Lytechinus pictus: one gene and its partners. The protein of the gene in region 1 purifies or fractionates together with the protein of each later gene. This does not show direct contact. Links are inferred from orthologs where the notes say so. Each region holds a gene or a part of one and is shown in the gene's direction. Other genes may lie near its edges.

The links.
Region 2: the proteins of kinesin-like protein KIF23 (region 1) and ADP-ribosylation factor 6 purify together in Homo sapiens (affinity purification with western blotting; 3 studies listed by BioGRID and IntAct, with this or other methods). This does not show direct contact. The link is inferred for Lytechinus pictus from reciprocal best matches to the Homo sapiens genes KIF23 and ARF6.
Region 3: the proteins of kinesin-like protein KIF23 (region 1) and protein ECT2-like purify together in Homo sapiens (co-immunoprecipitation; 3 studies listed by BioGRID and IntAct, with this or other methods). This does not show direct contact. The link is inferred for Lytechinus pictus from reciprocal best matches to the Homo sapiens genes KIF23 and ECT2.

What each region holds. Positions count from the first base shown.
Region 1 is NC_087247.1:11,418,576-11,426,460, reverse strand, and holds the start of kinesin-like protein KIF23, read left to right. Parts: upstream 1-4,836; 5' UTR 4,837-5,021; coding exon 5,022-5,032; intron 5,033-6,900; coding exon 6,901-6,964; intron 6,965-7,885. Other genes in the region: telomerase protein component 1-like, read right to left, coding at 499-660, 2,240-2,374, 2,747-3,442.
Region 2 is NC_087250.1:26,846,934-26,853,989, reverse strand, and holds the start of ADP-ribosylation factor 6, read left to right. Parts: upstream 1-3,998; 5' UTR 3,999-4,652; intron 4,653-7,056. UniProt on the Homo sapiens protein: GTP-binding protein involved in protein trafficking that regulates endocytic recycling and cytoskeleton remodeling. GTP-bound form plays an important role in the transport of multiple palmitoylated proteins form the Golgi to the plasma membrane.
Region 3 is NC_087260.1:15,023,034-15,030,191, forward strand, and holds the start of protein ECT2-like, read left to right. Parts: upstream 1-4,079; 5' UTR 4,080-4,191; exon of another isoform or gene 4,192-4,549; intron 4,550-7,158. UniProt on the Homo sapiens protein: Guanine nucleotide exchange factor (GEF) that catalyzes the exchange of GDP for GTP. Promotes guanine nucleotide exchange on the Rho family members of small GTPases, like RHOA, RHOC, RAC1 and CDC42.

The sequences.
Region 1 (7,885 bases):
ATCAACAATAAGTTTGTCTTTACATATTCATTTCTTGACCACTTTCTTCGATTGAAGTGTCACATTAAAGAGTAGATATTACACTTTCTAGACAAGTGATTTTCTTTGTGAAATTCAGATACTGCCCAACAAGTGACTTTTAGTATCCTTTCTTCAAAAATTTTGTTTTTACTCACTCATGCATGAAAAAAGAGTTATCTAAAGTTATACCAGCTCGAAGAGGAGACTCTAAGCTTTACAATGGTGGGTCGTGTGTCTATTGTATTTGTGATTAAGATATGATAAATCGTAGATAATTCTTGGTTCTGTTTTTTCAAGAGATGCACTACATATCTATCTATCCATTTATCCATCCATCCATCCACCCATCTATGTATCTATCCATCCATATATCAATTTTTCTCCCTCCCAACCTCCCAATAGATCAATGTATTATACACTGGTTGACAGTTTGTGATTTCGAAATTAAGAAAAAATCTGTTCCAAATTCATCATTACCTGGTAAAGTTCTGCTACATCTATCCAATCAGATGGCAGGGCAATGCTGGAGCTGAAATACTTCCTGAGAAAAGGTCGGCACTCGGGGGTCATGGCCGCAAGAGCTAGCAGGAAATTGGCTGTGGTACGTATATTCAACTCCTTCCTCGTATACAGTGCAACCTGATTAAAGGCAAATGACACATACTATATTTAACACTGGAACATAAATATTAGGCCTACTCTTTTTTTTTCTTAAGAGTGAGCATTTTTCATTTATGTTTGCAGTTTATAAAAACCTATTCATGACATACAGAATGACCTTCAGGTTGCAAGTCATCTGTGAAAAACAAAGATAGTCTCTGTGAGTAGGCCTGCGTATCATTTGTTTCTATCAGTTAAATAATTGGCAATAAATTGAAATATCTATACAATCATAACCTTCATTGCCACGTTTAAATTGTCTGAACTAAAAAAATATGGAAAACCCAAGAAATATTAAAAGACAGTATATGCATTTCTAAGATTGTTCATCAAATATTAGACCATGGACAGTAGGTTCCATAACATTTGCTCCGGCGACAATTGCTCTGATGGAAAATCTGCACATTATTATTAAGCCAATCATAAATTCTAACCTCCAAAACCAAATAAACCCTAATATGGAGCAAATGTCGCACGAGCAATGTTATGTCACCGGACAGTAACTATTAGATACAAGACATGTTTTGACCAATCATACTTAAATCATAGCCCTAACATTCATTGCATGAAAGTAGTACAAGGAAGAAAACAAATCCCAGCAATGTGTAATGATGTGTTAATTGGGTAATCTGATACTTGTAACAATTACCTATTCTGTTATTCTGCCAATTTTATCAGGAAAATTTTCAATATCAGGGAGGTCATTCATAAATTAGGAGATCAACGTAATCAATAATAGGCAATGAATAGCATTCCGCATTAAAATCACTGAATACAAAAAAAAAGGCTCCCTGAAGATGGTAGAATTATTATAATGGCAATTCCCAGCATTCAAGCCTTGCACAACTTTTGACATCAAGGTTGCAATTTAAGGGGTGTAGTGTATTTCAAAGCCTTGCATCAGCCATAAAAGTGAACCAATGCAATATGCACAGCTATGTACACATTACAACACATGGAATCATCTGAAACATACATGCTTTGAATGGGGAAAATTGACTTAGATACTCAGTTTAAAGCAACCATGTCCTGGCGTTATGCAATCAGATGAAATAAAAAAGTTCCTGCATGTAGCTATCAAAGTAAAAAAATAATAAAAAACATGACAACATTCTGTAAAAGCAAATATTAAGTAATCAGATACAGAACATACGGTAATTGTCACTAAAACATATTCTTATATTCCTCATACTTTGACAGTTGACACTTCCTAAACATCTTTAAAAAATAGATTACCATACTTCTTTTTCACAATTTCAGCCTAATGTCACAATAAGTTGAAATATATAAATCAAGGCATCGCTCCGGTGACAATTGCTCCGCTCTAAATTCCACACACTAATCGAATAACCAACTTCAACCCAAGGTTTAACACTATGCCCTACCCTAAGCTTAACCTAAACCCAACATAAAACCCTATAGCAACCCTAACCCTAACTCTACACCTTAGACGAAATCAAGCCCCGGAGCAATCGTCCCAGGAGAAAATGTCGTATCACCCTTCAATTTCCCTCCAAACATTTGGAATCCTTCTGCAGGAGTAATTCTCTTTGCTCACCTTTAGAATAAATTCAGGATCTTCATTGATGATGGAAGTGGCCTGCCTGTTGATATTCTTTCTTGTGCTATCTCCACGCTCATGAAAGTTTGGGCCACCGATCAGGGAGGCACTAACAGCATTGATGAACTGTTGCTGTTGAATCAAAATACTTGCAATAAGCTACATTATTTCATAGCTATTTCATAACTTTTCAAAACAAATAACATGAACATGTATATTTCCAGTTGAATGAAATACAAAGCAAGTTGAAGGATATTACAATAACCCTTAACAATTTAAATTTCTTTAAATCAATCTGATATTGTTTCTCAAAATGATTGACAAAATTGCTTCAAGAAATGATCTTATAGAATGCATAATGTATAGTCATGATTGCTAATGGAGATGTACTATGAATCTTTCTTATAAGATGAGTTAGATGCCTCATTTAAAAAAAAAGTAAACACAATGTATTTAGCTTGGCCTGATAAGTTGAATAGATGAATTTTTTAATTAATACTCTACCTTTAATTTTGTTGAGTAGTTTTCCCCTGGCTTTGTCGTCAGAGTTTTGGCCATGTCCAGCTTCTCAAACTGGTGATCATATTCCTGCACAGCTGGCTTTGCAACTGGAAGCTGTCGTGAGAAATCGTAGTCTGGCAGCTCACACGTGGTAAGGGTTGGGTCAATGACATTGTCCTCCTTCGACTGCTCTGGAAGATGCTGTGCTTTGATCTTCTTGGTCTTGGACTCCTCGGCTTGGGTGCTGTTGCTACGGCTCAAGCTGCGGGTCTTCTGGGAACCCTTCAAGACGCTGCCGTACCCTGAGGCTGATAAAGAGGATGATGATGAGAGAGAGCTGCCCATCGATAGCAAGCTTCCGCCTGCTAGAAGGGATCTTCCAGAGCTGCCCTGAAGCTTACTATGCAAACCAGTATTGGCTGTTGCAGAAGAGAGCAGCTTGTTTTCAATCAGTGGGGACTTGGTGCCCAGACTAGATGACTTCATGCCCAGGTTAAATTGGGACTTGCCATCTTTCTTCGAGACACCACCAAGCAGGGAGCTTCCAAAGAGGCTGCTTTTTTGGAGGGACATTCCAGTGGACGTCTGCTTGCTTGGGACCGACGCTTGACTGCAGCCATCATCCCTTGCCTTTCGCTTTGTTGCTGTTAGACCAGACGACAATGAACCCGTCAACAGAGGGTTTGACAGGTAACTCATCTTGACAAGTCGACAAATTTAATATCTAAAGTAGAAGCTGATTTTTTCCTCACTCATAAGTATGAATTATTCTGCATTTAAGAGAAACAGATGATTGAAAAAGAAAATCAATAAATTGTTGATTAGACTTCTGAATGGTAGTACGAATTTAGGATTCAAATTCAAGTAAGCAATAATTAAATGATTAAAGTTTTGTGAAATATAACCGAAATTTATATCATCCATCTTTAAAAGTCAACTCCAAGTAAATCTGCACATCAAATGCAATGCATCATTGGTAGAAGAGCTCTGCGGACATTGAAATGCTGATATTTATAAACAACACACTTTTGATTGAGAGATTTAATATTCCTTTGGGAAATCATTTCTTCTAAATATATTTCTGAACTTATTGACAGTATTTGGCCAGTAGCTATCTCGCCTGTATCTCACACACAGTTGCCCGCAGAAGCGCACACAAAATCTGATGAACTGATTTGCATGCAGAAAAGTTTTGGACACGCTCATGCTCATGCATAGGTGGGAAGTAAAATTGGTCTGGAATGGGAAACCTCTCTCTTAGCTGATCCCTCCGCTTCTTTGGAGATACCTGGACTCTGGAGTCTTCTCTTCCTCTTCTTCTGATGAAGTACAGTCCATCGTCTAGTTATTGTACTGTATTTGACAGGTCTGGTGTTGTGGAGTATGTACAGTGCCATTTTAAAAGATTCTAGCAATCTACTACTTTTTACTAGGCCTACATATTTTAGTAAAATATTTACTGTCATCTGAAACTGTTAATTTAATAAGAGAAACTCCTGTTTAATCAAACCTCAACTTACTTATTTTTCTTATCTTACTCCTGCTCAATAAAATAAAAAAAAATAAGACAAAATTCAAAACACCATCTTGACTCTCGAAGCAGTCTACAGGAATGAAATTCACTCAAGTGTCTCACTCTCAGTGAGTCAGTCAAACAAGGTTCAGTACCGCTACTACCGGTAATCGGTATTCAGTCTTAATTTCACTCAGACACACTTGGCTTGCCTTGAAGTTGATGAAATTACCTCTTCTTTACTACAAGCAGTGACATGACACTCTTTCCTTACTCCAAATTCCAATTTGAACTGAGCTTCATCTGTGTCTCGTACAGCTCTGTCTCTGCTCGCTCTACATCATGTAATGTAATTTCCGAAGTCTGTCATTGTCAAGTGCCATAAGACTGAGCTGAGCTTGTAGACTGTAGTTACATGTATGCCGAGGATCACGCCCCTGGCCCAGCCCGGTACCTTACCGCGATAGAGCAGGTCCCCGGAAGTTCAGGGGACAATGGTCTTGCACCATGCCTACGCAAGGATCAGCAATGATGCAAGTTCGCGAAATCTCCGTGTTTTGAAATGTCTCCCTCTCCGGCTACACTCTTGCAATTTCAACGATGATTGGCTCTTGATCTTTCGATCGATCGAGCGCGCTCGCTTTTTGAATGCAATATTGTGCGCAGACGATTTTTATGCATTTTGTGGCTGACCGATTTTCTTCTGAATTTGAGCAAAGATATCACCAAAATAGCTGTATTTCTGACTAGACAAGGGATCCCAACATGAAGCCAACGTAAGTAACTATCAAAGAATAAAAAACATGGTCACGACGAAGGTGGTCTGGATAATTTAAAGTATAGGTATGAACCGAGCCCTCGGTCATTTTCCACACAATATTTTTCTTTTTAGACCATTTTCATTACTGGCGTACCGGTATGCAACTCGTATGCATACAATGACCAATTCATTTATCACGAATCCGTGTTACCCTAATTTGCATTGCACAGGAGCCAAATCCCGGGGGCCCAGGTGACCATGCATACGCATACCATACTGTTTTAACCATTTTTGTGCAAGAAAAATGCCAAGACTAAAGACTTAAAGTTAGAGAATACCCACTGTCTTGCCTATATAATTCTGTGAATGAATATTTATTTTTAGCATGTTTAGTCAGTAATTTACTTCGTGCTTTTTATCGTTGTGTTGCTTTGGGCTTGGCCATTATAACCTCGTTCGTAGGATGAGTGGGCTTGGCTTTACCTTTGCCTTGGGCCGGCTTTGGCTTTACATTTTTGTTTCATGTTTGGTCAATCGAAGTTGGATTTTGACTTTTGTTTGAAACTTTGAGTTTTTATTTTTTATTTTTTTGGCTTTGAGTCATTGCCTTAATTTTGTTCTTTGTCAAGACTTAATTTTTAATTTTAGTTCACATCGTGTGAAGTGTCATCCAATGTTAACAGCTGGCAGCCGTCTGTTTCGAGTAGTTTTTTAACATTTTTATTTATTGTTAATTTCTCCTCGTACACAGACGGCTCCAGCCACCATTAGGGGATTAACAATGCAAAATCCCCCCGATTGGGCTCATCGAATTTTGTCTTTATTTCATAAAAATATATAAAAAGAACTGTACCAAGATAAAGATGTTTCCGTTTTGGCCTGAAATGCACCAAAACTGGGAAAAATAAACTTAAAAGGGGAAAAAACAGTGACCATGGTGACTTACTTCGGCTGTCGCGCAACTTCACTTCCCTGTTTTATCCGAACTTAATACATAAACATATGGCCATTGAGTCCCCTGTACAGATCGCGCTAGAACTTCGGTCTCTGTATTTGGTGAGTGGAGCCAATGGAGTTCAACGGAACAACCAACATAACAGAGACCAAAGCTTTTGGTCTACATCCAATGCAGCGTCGCTTCGTTTGCACTCATCTTTTCACCCATTTTATCAATCATGTTTTTCTCTTCCTTTAATTTAAGTTGAACTAGTTTTATAACATGATGTTCAACATGCATCATCATGTCATACATTATTGATTTGTTTTTAAATCTTTCTACCTTTCTTCATTCTTATTTCTTTTATTTCTTTCCCCTGAAGCTTTTATTTTTTCTTTCTTTCCTTCTTTCTTCCTTCCTTTTATCTTTTTTTAAAATTCCTTTTATTGCTCCTCATTTTTACTCTGTCAATTCATACAAAAGTACCGTAATAGAACTAAGGTGTAATTCATTCTTTTTTTTTCTTTCTTTCTTTCCTTTCTTTTTTAAATTCCTTTTATTGCTTCTCTTTCTTTTTGGCTTTCTGTCTTCCTTCTTTCCTTCCTGTCTTCCTTTCTTTCAATCAAACAAGGATGTAAAATTGTATTTGTAACCTTGTGCATCTGAGGGTTGACATATTTAGACATCTTCCTATGTATCGATGTGATTTTGCTGCTATCATAGAAGATTAACTGTATACGAAAGATACTTCAATGAAATAAAAAGTAATATTTTTTTTTCCTAACCTTCCCATTGGGGGCCCCACGTTTCATAAAAAGTTACAACTGTTGTAACTTTGCCATTATGACAACTACCATGGTAACCTTGATTTTGATTGGCTGCTGAGCCCAGTGCCATGGGACAAAAATGTAATATAATTTCTTGTATCATTTCATGTTTTTTTTTAGACGAGGCAAGACCCCTAAGAAGACACCTCGGAAGCCCCCTAGCTGTGCTAAGGACCCAGTAGAGGTAAGATACGGAAGGTGAAAAGTGATCGGAGATGACAAAATAATTCAGGATGAAAATTTCGTGTTGTGTCTTATCGAGTGAACTTGATGGGAAGTACATGTACAGTACCAGTCACAATTCGTTGACTACCTGTTTACCTGTTTCAACCAGAGAACATTAGATTCAGTGGACCAAATCTATTATTCTCTGGTTGAAACAGGTAAAAAGTCAATATCAATTTTCTCGTCAAGTCAACTTTGTCTGACAAGAAGACAAAAAGTCAACTTGATGAGGATGCCTTCTTGCCTTCCCATCCTTGTCAAGTCTGGGCCCTGTAAAATAAAGCCTAGTGATCGCGATTGATTGTGATTCACCTGAGTTTTTATTATTGATGATACACGATTATAAATGCATACAATCATAGACATGGGCCTCAAATTAATTGCTGTGCACTATGTTACACGGCCTTGATTAACAAGATGCAGAATCTTGCCATTTTGTCATGTCTTCCTGACTAGTTTACTTTATTGTATAATATACCCAGTATCATTGACATTGTCTTCCGGATTTATCTTGGTTGATTGGTGCACCTTTAAGATTCTGAAGTACTAGTTAATTTGAGATCAGCTGAATGTTTAATGAAGCACCTTGTCGGTGCTTTTTAGGGTTGTTTTACATAACAACGCTTCTTTTTCTGAGCCAATTAGTTGCAATAATTTCAGTGGTTTTTAACAGTTGTCAGTGAAAATTACTAACTATATATTTGTTCCATATATGTAGTGCTCCGCAGGAAAGTAGATGAAACAGATGATGAGGATGGCTAAGCTATTTAAATATAATATAAAGCACTGGGGCGGTATTCTGAGGTCATTTTATCTTTAAAATATTTTATTTTATCTCTTATAATGAAATTGGTATTCTGAGATGATATTTTATCTCTCA
Region 2 (7,056 bases), on another chromosome or scaffold:
AACAATAAAAAATTATGAACAATGGACCTAACCCCTTTTGAAAAATTAGCTTTTCAAAATAAATTGTTTTCAAAAGGGGTTAGGTCCACTCCAAGAAAATCAAGTTTTTTTTATTCTCCCATATTGCAATATTCTTATGCGAAACTAAATTTTCATGATACCCTACCATGAGAACATAACATTGGGTATAAAAAAAATCTACCTGTCTTCATATTTTTAAAATATTCTTTTCCAAAAAATACTGTGTGGACCTAACCCCTTTTGCAGCCAAACTGAAATGGACCTAACCCCTTTTTGAAAAAAAAGTGATTTTTCTTTGCCATTTTAGATCACTTTTTAATGAGAATTTCAACTCTTCTTTGGTATCATCTTATAGAGCTACTAAAAATCTATACATTGAGACAAAATATCAAATTTGATGAAAAATGGACCTGAAAAATGGTCTGAGCGTTTCAATCTCCAATGATCAAAACCGTCTCTACCCTCCACGTGTGCAAGTTTTTGTTCTTATGTAATAACACATCGTATGGAGATGGACTGCAATTTCAGATGAAGAGATCGAGGTCAACAGGATTACCTCACCTCGTAACATGATGATGATGATGATGAACCCCTTTTGCAAGTGAGCTCTTCATAAATTATACTTCTAATTATTACAAAAAGTACATTTCCAGTTTTCTCGTCGGAAAATGAAAAATTAAAACTCACGTTTCTTGCTCGCATCAGTTCTGTTCATCTATTCTGTACATGGTAAAAAAATGCTAACAATTTCCAGATTAAAAGTCAAAAACTTTTAAATTTTCAGTTCGTATAGATAGGCCCTATTATACCTATTCTTTTCATAAAGTGCAAAAAATTTCGGGTTTAAAATTCGGGAAATCTAAAATTTTCAGCTCGCGCTAAATATAGTTTAGTATCATCTTAATAACCACGAGAAGCAAAGTTTTTCAGTCTGAAAATGAAAATCTTAAGCTTGCACTTTATTGTTTGGTTAGATAGCATAATTATGTTCATTTTGACAAAAAGTGCTCAAAGTTTATTATACTGCTCGCACTTTGCGTTCGCATTATTATGACTGGTGACAATATCATTTTTATGAGTCACTGGAAACCGTCATTAACAGATCAATAAATACATTTTCAGCTTACAACTGAAGACATGGAAGATGTCTCTTTTTCATAATTTCATTGTACAAAAATTTAAGCCCGCGCTTCGAGCTCGCATTTTTTTAAAAATTAGATATACATCGTGTTCATCATGACAACGACTAATTCAAGGCACTTTTCTTGTCTGTATTTATTTCCATATAAAACAAAATATATATACATGATCAAATTACAAAAAGAAAAAGAAAATCGTCAAATAAAATATGGAGGATCGCCCATTTCAGCGGTATTAACATAATGCCGCTATTCTTCCATGGGGTCCTTTAATTGCAACGTAAATACATATTATAAAAAATAATATACACTGTAAATACACAATACTTAATCGAGTGCATTACAAGAAAAAATGCAAAGACTAAAACTAAATTACGGTAAAAAAATATCCCATTGTGAAAATGCCCCCCTCCCCTTTAACCCACCCTCTAACTATTGATTGCCTAAACGCCCAATTTAGTCTGTTATTACACCGATAGTCTGTTATTACACCGATTGTCTGAATGTGTCAATTTCATAACTGAAAAATTTTCGTACCTTGAACCATCATATATATTTTGTAAACCCTTTCATTTTTCAGTTTCTCCGATCTAAATTTATTTGAAATATAGGAATGGCTTTTTTATTGTTTGTGTAGGCCTATATATAGGCTTACTTAGTAAATCAATTATTAGTTTCATAAGCCATGATAGTCCTCAGTGAATTTAAGTTTGTTTAATACCCAAGATTATTTTTCAATTCTCCATAAGCGCGAATTCATATCACATTTTTACACAAATTCCCAATATGCCGTGGGGGGGGGGGGGCATAGGCTGATTCGGTGATCGGGTAATGAAGCGGGCAACGGTGCCTTGCCCTACTGGCAGCGCAATGAGGTACCGAGGTAAATAATAGAGAAATTAAGAAGAACGTAAGATCGGAGGAGTAATAGAATCGAATAAAATATAAGGAGAGGGGAATAATTGAAAAAAGGGATAAGTTTCAGGTCAGAAGTACTGATATAAAGGTTTAAAAAAATGCGATTTCGCAATGTTGCCTATTAAAAGAAATAACAAGAGTATTATGGGCTTGCAATAACCCATTATCAAATTAATGTGCACAAATTTTTCTGTTCGCTATTCGAGTTTCCATTATTTTCTTATACGCATTTTATTCAAAGGTCAAATCCACCCCAGAAAATTTTCGATTTGAATCAATCGAGAAATATCTAATAAGAATAACGCTTAACAAAAAAATCAGATGTAAGTAAGAAATTTAAGACATTTTAAGGTTTTGCTTATCTTTCACAGAACAGTTATTATGCACAAATCATTGACAGGCAAATTAGTGAGTCGATGATGTCCCTCACTATTTCGTTTATATTGTTTGAATCGTACAATATTTCATTTTTTTAGAGATTTTACAATAATTAATTACCATCTTGGCTGAGTCATATAATTGTAAATGTTCAGGGTGTGTTTCACAGGAGAATTATAAAGGAGAAGAATATTTCAAACAATGAAAAAAAAAATCGTGAGCGGGTGACATCATCAGTCCCTTTATTTGCATACTATCACTGTGTTGCGAAACTTTAGCAAAAGTTGAAAACGTCACAATTTTCTCATTTACATCTGATTTTGATGAAATTTTCGGTTTTATGCTGGTTGGATTATTTTTTTCTTTTTTATTCAAATCATCTTTTAGTTGCATTTTGTTGGGTTGGACTTGTCCTTTATATAGTTTTGAAAATGGGGCTGAACATAAATGTAGGCCTATATATATATATATATATATATATATATATATATTCACCCAACAAAGGAAATTATAATTGGTATGGTGTCGAAAATCTGTCTATTTGACGTTCAATCGGATCGGGGTCGCCCTAGCCACTGACCCGTCTCTGCATGCCGGTGGTCTATAGTGGTTAAGGCACCGGCGTTCAAAGCTGGGGGCCCGGGTTCGATTCCCGGCAGATACATTTTTTCGGCATTGCCAATTTTTCCAAAAGGGCAGATAGCTCTGGGGAACCTTAATTTAAGCTACGCATACCATTGTTCTCTTCATCCATTTCTTTCACAATATATTATATATATATACCATTGTTCTCTTCATCCATTTCTTTCACAATATATTATATATATATATATATATATATATAATATATTGTGAAAGAAATGGATGAAGAGAACAATGGTATGCGTAGCTTAAATTATGCGTAGCTTAAATTATATGCCATGCACCGCTATATATAAAAGGTTCGCATTGTTTATATGCCATGCACCTCAGCGGCTGGCCAACTTGAACAAAATTATCTTCAGGTAAGTAGGCCTACAAGAAATGTACGAATTAGAGCTCGTGCTTTTAAAGTGTTCCGGCGTTCTATAGTGAGACAATAAATCAATTAAGGAAGAAAGAAGAAGAAGAAAAGAAAATAAGCAACAAACAAACAAAAACAGCAATGATCGATTGAATTTGCATTTCCTCCATTACTTCTCATCAGAGAGAGAGTTACACGTATATAAGGACAGTCTTTTTCCCCTACTCTTTCTTCCCAGTGGCGGCAGTGGGATTTCGAAAATAGAGGGCAAATACAAATAATAGGCAATAGTGTCTATATTTCCCACTACATTTTTATGTGGTAGTGTGTGGGGGGTGCATCAGAGGCGGATTTACATTTCAGTTTTCAGAATTTCTGTGGGAGGGGAAGTGCTCCTGACGGAAGGGGGGATAACCCTCACGTCCGTCCTCTCGCGGTGCCACCGATGCCATTCCCCTTCCTCATTCCACTCCTTCCATATCTATCCCAAGGCAAACTTGAAGTTGAAGGAGCTTTGGCCTTGTTCCCCTCTCTTTCACATACTTGGGAAGTGCACATATACGTACACCTGTACCTGCGCCTGCGTCGTCTTTGAGGGGGAATTCCCGCCATGAATCGGATTTAATCAAACGCTCAAAATTACAAATATCGGAGCTTATTTGCAAAATATCCTTACTTCATGCTTCAGAATGTAGACAATTTGTAAACTTTTTAGCATAAAATAATTGCGAAAAAATCCTAATAATGAATTTCTTATCAATTAAATACACAATTCTCAACATGTGGGACTTACATTTTACCAATAATTTTGGAACGAGCCTGTTGATAACGTCACCACGCCCATGACAATTCACTTCAAAGCTGATATGTATTCATGTACTTTTTAAAGATTTCATGAAAATTTGTTTCTTTGCTCCAACAATAAAAAATATAAGTTAAGTTGTTATTTTTATTATGAATATAAACTCACATAATCTACTTTAATTCAGGAAATAATGCAAAATATCTCAGCTTCAATGAGAACTTTATTTTTAATCGCTCAAATATTATGCTTTGTACTGCGGTTTCACTCACCGCGCGCGTATAATTTACTTCCCGTGCTCGATGAATGAAAAGAAAGTGTCAAACGTTACTTTTTCTGCATTCGACTCTTGTCCATCGTCGTCACAATGTTTCGCTTAAGGACATTTGAGGTAAATAAGACGTAATTTATGTTCTATTAAGCGTTTGATGAATGTTGGTGATTGAATTAGGGACTTATTTTATTCCCGGAAGTCGGTAGTGTATGCTTGCGGCACGTTCGTGTACTGAAAGTTACAGAGACGTCGGGTGACGTGAGCTGTGTGTGTGAATAAGGTGAGCTGTGTGATAAGTCATCTCCCTCATTGATGCGTGCGATTTTTAATGCACGCACTTCGGCTAAACCCCACACGTTTTCGTGATACAGTATTCAAGAAATAACATGAATTAAGTCTAGACTAAAGTAGTGTTGTTACCCGCAAGGCCGCATGCAACTTAACGCAAGTGTAATTTGAAAACCAGACCCGGCCGTACCGTAGTTGTACTCGTAGACCGTCCCATATTGCCATAAACTTTCAACTTAATTTAATTAAAGACAAAAGTCAATGTTCTGTCGTTAACTTTATTATTAGAAATTAGAAATACAATACTAGATCGAGCAGCCATTAGATTGAATTTAGAGGTGGTGGTCAGAAGAAAATTGAGATCTTCCCACTGGTATTACAGGCTGTAGTACTACTAGTAGTACTAGTAGTAGTAGTTAGTAGTCATGGTAGGGTGACTGCACACGTCACAGAGCAAAAAAAATCGCCCTTTTCACCGCATTCACACAGCCAAAAATTGTCATGGTTTTGAGGGAAAAATCAAAGTTCAATGCATTTCTGACATATGATCCTGGGAAAGAGTTATCTATGCACCCCCCACCAAAACTAACAAAAGATTGTCGAGACTTAAAGTTTGTTCACTTCAGATTTTTCTATTATTTTTTTACTGTTGCTTTATACATGAAGATACCTTACTTACAAAACTTAGTTGGGACTCGAACTCACCTCGTTTTATCTGCAGTCAAGACCTCTTCCCGCTATGCTAGCGAAAAGCGCTGATACCGGAAGGGGTATTTTAACAATTATCAGCTGATAGTTCGACTACATGTAGTCTTAACTCACAGTCACTCATAGACCCTTTACTGACTAAAAATAAACCGATGTCTGGACAATTACACGCACTAGATCCTGCGCGAAATTTGACAGAATAAAGCCATATTTTGGTATGTATTTCCACTCCCCCATTATATATGTTGTATATTAGGTCAGAGATATTATTTTGAATCTTCTCCATGTTTTTATTTTCAATTTTAGTGGGGGGTGCATATGGAAATCTTGCCTGATCCTGTTTAGTGTTGGGCGTCGTCCAAATTTAATGATTTTGGTATAAAAAGAGGAAAGACTGCTCCAAATAACCTACTTCGTTTACATCTTTTTACTAACATAATTTTGATGTGGCATTTAAAAAGGAATTTTAAGGTCTTGTATCTTGTGAATAAACATAGATTTTGCATGTCTATGTATTATTGCACTCAATTCAACACATTCACTGAGAAATGTACAAAAATAAATGCTCACTTTTGGCATAGGGCGCTATAAATGTATGTATGTTGCCATGATTTAGTGTCCTATACCAAGAGCATGCTTACATTTGTAATACATTGATTACTGGACCTTCCTCATTGTACTCAGCTGAATGAAGCACGATTGTATACAGAAAGTCTGAACAGGCCTTGAGTCGAACCCATCGTGGCAAACATTTCTGATGGAATTCATGCCTTATACATGTATGTTCTAAGTTCAGGGTTTCTTTTATAATTTCCTCTACATATTTTTGGTTCTGAAGTGCAGTTTGCTATTGTGAATGATCAGAATAGAACTTACTGCCAATAACCCTTTTCTTACTCTTATATTTTCTTAAAAACTGTCCTCTAAAAGACTTGGATTTTTACATAAAGATACAAGAACTTTGTTTACTATCAAGAAAAGAAAAAGTTTACGGGGAAAATGTAACTATTAAAGTCTACTTTAAAGTGGAGTGGGGGTCTTAAGTGTTGACCACTACGTAGTACATCTTTAGTTTTGAAAGATTAACCAGTCAATAAGATCAGGGGCCCGTTGCAGAAAGAGTTGCGACCTGGGGCCTGTTGCAGAAAGAGTTGCGTTTAAACACAAGTCCCGAGTACAGGTGCTTCATTGACTGAAAATCAAGTTGCGCAAGATTTTTTTAGTTGCGTTTGATCGTAGCTCTTTCTGCAACGGGCCCAGATCTTATTGACTTGATGTCAATTGCTCTGAGTAAATATGAAGGATTTGTTCATGTTTTGATATAAAGTTTATAAATCTTTTTCTTTTGAGTGAAAAAAAATAAAACTGCTTCAACAAACTGCTTCAACAAAAAAAGTCAATAATTTGTACATGTTTCAATGGAAGTGATTTAAATCAATGATTAAAAAAAAAATCATGGTGATTTGAATCGTGATTTAAATCAGCCAAACCTGAGGTTACTTATTATGCTTAATATAATGGGCTT
Region 3 (7,158 bases), on another chromosome or scaffold:
CGGCAATTCTTAGATGCAAAGACTACCAAGCAGCCTGTCCAGGCTCATGTAATATGTCATTTAGATTATTGCAATAGTTTACTCTATATAGGATGCCCGATTTCCAAATAAACAAATTACAAGTAATTCAAAACTCTGCAGCACGACTAGTCACCCGTAATATAAAACATTCCCACATCACACCTGTCTTAAAATTACTACATTGGCTCCCAGTCCAGTCGCGTGTAATGTTTAAAGTACTGCTTGTAAAAAGGGGTAACTTATCAGTGCCTCCATGCAATGGCTCCAAAATATCTTATTGATTGTTTAGTTAAGTATGTGCCATCTCGTAATCTTCGATCAGCTCAGAAGGATCTTTTAAATTGTCCTTGTGTTCAGACCAAGTTTTATGGAGAACGATCCTTTGCCCATGCTGCCCCTTCACTTTGGAATACACTCCATCATATGTAAAGAACTCTTCTCCACCCAAGTTTAAATCCACTTTGAAAACATATTTATTCAAAAAGACTTTTAAATGAGTTTAATAGTGCCACGATTTCCAGCAAATTTCTCTCTTTTTTGGGGGGGTGGTCACGGCATTGGGGAGCACCATCAAAAAATTGAGTCACTAAGTGGGCGCGCGAAGCGCGCTCAATTGCCACGTATACTGACCTAACAGAGATATTTTAAACGGATATGTATCTAACTGATCAAATAATGCAAGCGCGAAGTGCGAGCTGAAAATTTTTGATATTCAGACCTGAAGAGGAGCATTCTAAGGCTTGTTTGTAGCAATTCACTAAGACCATACGTATTTCACTAACCAAACGATGCGAGAGCGAAGCGCGAGCTGAAAAATTTTCAAACGTAAAAAGGGAGCATTATAAGCACATTTTTGTAATCATGATACGTACATGTCTCACAAAACAAGCAATGCGAGCGCGAAGCGCGAGTTGACATTTTATGTATATATTGACCACTTGAAACAGGGACATTTTAAGGGCTTCATGAGGAATTCATGAAGAGCATACATGGTCATCTAATGCAAGCGCCAATCGCTTGCTGATTTGTTTACACCTAAACACATGAGGCACTTGTTGTAGTCATTATCATGAACATGATACGTACCTCACTGATCAAATATTGCGAGCGCGAAGCGCGAACTGATTTTTTTTTTATATTCAGACCAGAAAAAGGAACATTTTAAGGACTATTTTTAGGAATTCATAAAAAGCAGACATATCTCACCAATCCACTAATGCAAACGTAAGCACGTACTAGAATTGTTTTATATTGAGGTGGCAATCATTTTAAGTGTGTAGACATGATAAACGGCATATGTCACTGCAACTCGAAGTGCGAGGAAATATACAGTGCGTATAAAAAAACGGGACAGTTTTGAAAAGTCTATAAAAAATTATGATATCTATATTTTGATGTTAATAGATGCTCTGAAATCTTATCTTTGAAATGCCATTAAAAAAAAATAAATTTTGTTCATGCTTGAGCGAACACGGGACCTTTTTTGTCGGGGGTTCAAAAAGAGGCTTGTGCCAAAATGGCAGAAATGAAAAATTTGATGATAAGACTTCTTGCTAATCAGCAAACTTCCTCTTAACCTTTTCATTATCTTTGCTATGATTTTTGAACTATGCTGTCAAATTTCATTTAAAAATTTATCTATTTACTTGAATTATTTTGCTTTTTCATTATTTTTTTTTTAACATTTGAATTTTCCTTCATTAATAAAGAAAAGAAGACTTTTTGTCAACCAATGCAAGAATATTTGCATTATTAATTGTGATAACTTGTAATTATTCAAATTGTATTTATTATGTGAAACAAATTATGTTATGGTACCTAAAAAAACATGAATCCTATTTTCAAGTGGTTTGAGCAAGTTTAATTGTGTGCTTGACAGGACAAACAGGAAATAATTCATGTCTTTCAATGGCAATGGTGTATTGAGTCAATTTTGAATGAGCTAGATATGGCAGATCGGATAAAATGCAAATAAAAATGTGAGCGAGCGAAGCGAGCAAGCAAAAATTTCCACTTTTTTATTAAAATATCAAATTTTGTGATAGATTTTGACATAATATTCAGAAAATAAATCATATTTCACTTTCTATCTTTACTTTTATTTCCTTTCCACTTTTTTTATTGGGGGGAACACCCCGAGCCCCCGCCCATCTGTATGCCACTGTTCAAAGGCACCATAACCTTTGTAGCACACAATAAAAGGATTTTTGAAAAAATGTATACGCTCTTCCATACTTCGGTTGAAAATTTTTTGTTTTTGCTTTAGAGTGATTGGTTAACATTGGTTTGACTTTTTAAAAATCTGAGCTAGAAGGTCACACTTGTCACCTGTGTGTGTGATATGTTACAAAAATGAAGCCCAGAAAAAATTGCGTTCGAAAATAATTATTTAGTGCTTCAAAAATTGAAATATAAAGTGACCGAAAACACCATCTTAATTTCATCCCATACACTTATGTGTACTATTTAGGCGTCTTGTAGACGCCTTTTTACAAAATCGGGGTTTGCCTTGTAGTTTTAGCTTTTCATTCTCAATAATGGTTGTTTTCAGGGTTTATTAGTTCTAATACATGCACTTGTACACATGTTTCATCTTGGTTTGAGAATTTTTTAAATCGGCTGCTCACAAAGTTAAACAATACCTTTAAGAAGGAATATTGAAAGCTAAAAGAGAACATATTGAAAGAAACAACAACAGAACTATTCAAGCAAATGAAGATTTGAAAATGAATTTTAACCGTATGATTCGAAAATTATGGCAAAGATAATGAAAAGTCTGCTGATTAGCAAGAAGTCCGATCATCATATTTATCATTTTATGTCATTTTGGCGCAAGCCTCCTTTTTAGCCCCCAGACAAAAACATTCCGTGTTCGCTCAAGCATGAACGAAACTATTTTTTTTAATGGCATTTGAAAAATGAGACTTCAGAGCACCCATTAACACCAAAATATAGACATCATAATTTGAAACAAAAAATGTATAGACTTTTCAAATCTGTCCCGGTTTTTTTTTATACGCACTGTATATTTGGTGTATATTATTGACTTGTCCCGATTATACCGACTCAGTGGCGGATCCAGGGGGCACATCTGGCCCGTGCCCCCCCCCCCGCCCCCTTGAGAGCCATAATCAAAATTTTGATGTAAATATGCCGTTTTTATACGTGCCCCCGGCTCCCTAGCTTTTTGAAAGTCACAGCCGCATGGGAATATGTCATTGAAACATATTTAGTGAGGACCCTTTTTTTTTTTTTTTTTGCTTTTCAAACTTTACGTAGGCGAAATGAAGTTCATTTTTTGGTGAAAACCTATTTTCTTTTGTTCTTTTGTTTTTCGCTTGTCAAATTTTTATTTTATCTTCCCGTATACTGAACGTTTTCCAACGGCCGGTGGGGGGGGGGGGGCTGGCTGAGTCCTTTAAGGTCAAGTTTACCCCGACCAAAAGTTGATTTGAATAAATAGAGAAAACCAAGCAGGCATAACGCCTAAAATTTTCAACCAAATTAGATTTGAAATAAAGTAAAATGACATATTGGATTTGTCAGTTTGTAAAAAAAAATGTTATCATGGTCGTATAGCGCAGGGGTCGTGGGCGAAATTTTACACAGAGAGAGTTGATGATGTTCTTGGAAAAATCAAGTTATGTTTCACATTAAGATATGGAAGCATTCATATTTCCCCTAAAATTTGGAATGACAGTGCGAATAAAACTTCACACCCCGTGGCCCGTATTCACAAAGGTCGACTAAAGTTATACCGGGGTTAAATTTAGTGGGGGGTTAACTAACACCCGGGTATAAAGTTAGTCCACTGCGCTATTCACAAACGGTGGACTAACTAATCCATGGACTAACTTTAGCACCCGGGGTTAAATTTAACCCATGGTTGAGTTATACCCCGGTGCTAACTTTAGTCCATGGATTAAAATGACGTCAAATGACGCGTTTTATACCCCGGTATAACTTTAGTCAAGGAGCTTAGTCGACCTTTGTGAATTCGGGCCCCGTGTCTTTGTTATGACTCATCGATTCGGTACGTCATGCATAAAGAGCAGTCATTTGTAATCAGCCAATCAAATCGCTTGATTTCGGGATTAGCGGCGAGTTTGAATGCGGAAAACATGGCAGCAATCGATGCGTGCAAAGGAAAGAGTTGAAGGCGATTGACAGGTTTGTCTTTGTTTTATCATTTACGTCTTACTCTTCCAATATGCATTATGATGGCTGATGAATAAGTGTTAAATACATTTGTAATTCATAATTTAAATGAGTTTTAGTTCACTTATTTCACAGATGTTTGTCTGAATGAAGTGGCAATGAATCTGATCTGGATTTTTTTTTTACGTGTGGGACCGGTCGTTTGTTTTTGTGTATTGTGGTTGGAATAACGTCGCCATGGGCATGGCATGAATGATGTGAATGAACGTGAGCACTGGGGATTAAAACTTGGAATTGGATAACATGATGCCTGAACTTGAAGGCCAAATGCTGTAATGTTTTAAATCGGATCAAATTGAAAATCGCATCGGTAGGCAGTTAATTAAGTAGGCCTATATAGGCCCTAAGTATTATAAGTTTAGGGTGTCTGAAGCCACACTGAAAAGTGTCACTGTCGGCATAAAACAGGCTAATTCAGGGGAAAATATGGCACATTTTTTCGGGGAAGTTCTTCTTCTTCAAGCTACACTGCCTCCTTCAATCCTGAAGATTCTTGCAGTATTGTAGTACCGGGGACCGGCAGGTGCAATACACCGGGTGAACACCCTACTCTTTGACGAAGAGTGTATTGGTTTTAACGTGCATAGGTTGTGACTCTCCTATACACGGGACCAACATTTGCGTCCTTTCCGATGGACGGAGTGTTTTCCAACTGCATTCACACCCGCACTGAACACAGCGGTGAGGCACGCTAACACACAACGCTAGCATCAGTTTTATTGTTAGACGTCTTCCGGCATGCTGCGGGACTCGAACCCACGCACGTTGAGATCTACGATCTTTTCCGGAACAGGCGCCCTAACCGACTGAGCTACACTGCCTCCGTTGGCTACTACTTACTAGAAAAATGTGATCTGAATTGATTATTAACTTGTGTTTGGCATGTATGGAAAGAGAAAATTCAGGGGCTTCTTTTGACAGTAAGGACAAGTTTATATGATCATTTTAAATAAGGATTTAGAGATAAATTGCAAACCCTTATTTTTGTGTGTGTAGAGATTGCCATTTCTCCATGCATTTTCTATGGGAAAATGAAATTTCTGTTTTGCACAATTTTTTTCACTTTGTCGCAATTTTTCATTGTGATCTGGTTTCCAAATCTTTATAAAAATCATACCATCAGATAGAGCATAAAAAATCCTATTGGACTCTTTATGGACAAGTTTTTGGCATTAATAATAAATTTATAACAGCTCTCGGAAGCTAAAAATTTGGATTTGTGTGTGTCCATTTCTTAACTACACAGTCTATGGCAGAGAAATGCTGAAAATTTACCTAATTTCATTCTTCTTTTTTGCAGCCAATAATTGGATTTTTTTCAAAAATGTTACATTTCTGTCAGTCTGAAGGTCATTTCTCTTCAAATTCACAAAGAAAATGTGATATTTTCTTGAAATAAGAAAAAAAAAAATTTCTCCAGACACCCTAATAAGTTATTAAGCTTCTTGTTCTAAAATCAAATTGGAAATCACTACGTCCGACAAAGAAAGACAAGTCAACAATAACCGTGAATTACCTCAACCCAGGCGATGGTTCGTGTAGTCCCCACTAACATTACAAGTTAGACCAAAAGCTTCGGTCTCTGTAGTGTTATGTTGGTTGTTCCGCTGAACTCGATCCGTTGGCTCCACTCACCAAATACAGAGACCGAAGTTCTAGCGCGATCTGTACAGCCAGTACAGGGGACTCAATCGAGTCAATGGCCATGGCATATGTTTATGTACTTAAGTTCGGATAAAACAAGGAAGTGAAGTTGCGCGACAGCCGAAGTATGTCAAAAAACAGAATAATCTCTATTTTTATTTGGTACAAATTACAATTCTTTTTCAATACTTTTATGAAATAAAGACAAAAATCGATGAGCCCCGTCGGGGGGATTTTGCATTGTAAGTCCCCTAATGGTGGCTGCACGATAGCGAGCCGTCTGTGTACAAGGAGAAATTTAAAAAAATAAAAAAATGTTTAAAAACTCCTCGAAACAGACGGCTGCCAGCTGTCTTAGTCCCCACAAGACCAGGAGAAGTCCGTGTAATACTAGTCAAACATATATACTCTCCAAAATGGGGTCGGAATAGCACTTCAAATAAAAGGGGAAAAGTAAATTATGCACTTACCTGTACCTCGATTATAATATGGATGAAGGTCTATCGTGACACAGCTATCCGGACATCGAGGCACAAACTGGACCCTCAAAAAAAGAAAAAGTTAGACGTCTATGTCCCGTTCGTTTTGGTATCGATCGGCCATATTGATTTTAATTTTGACAGAAGGAAAACGAACGAGAAACAACTTTTCCTTTTTTTGAGGGTCCAGTTTGTGCCTCGATGTCAGGATAGCTGTGTCACGATAGACCTTCATCCATATAATCGAGGTAAGTGCATAATTTATTTTTTCCCCTTTTATTTGAAGTGCTATTCAGACCCCATTTTGGAGAGTATATGTTTGACTAGTATTACATGGACGACTCCTGGGCTCCCGCCCGCTTCGCGGGCCGGAGCTCCCTGGGTTAGTCACTTAGTGTATTGTGTGACTGACTATGAGTGAGAGCATTCTGAATACCAGCATTTAGATCTACAGTACTAAATAAATGGCAGATAAAATGGGTGATATGAATAGATGGTGTCTACCGGGGGGCTATTCGAAACATGATAATAGTGTGCCACACCAAAGTAAAAAACATGGGGCTCTTGAACTAAATGTTGGCCTTTAAAAATAAAATGGGGGTCTCCGGAACTGCCCTTGAATCAATAAAATAGCTAAAAATGCATTGCTCCGGAACTGACCACATTAAACTCACATGACTCCTCGTCGATCGAGTTCGCCGTCCTGACCGGCTGAGTAGTTCATGATGGGCGCACACTGGAACGAGAAACCACAAATTTGAGGGTCTCTGGAACGGGAAAAAATAAGAATTTCTAT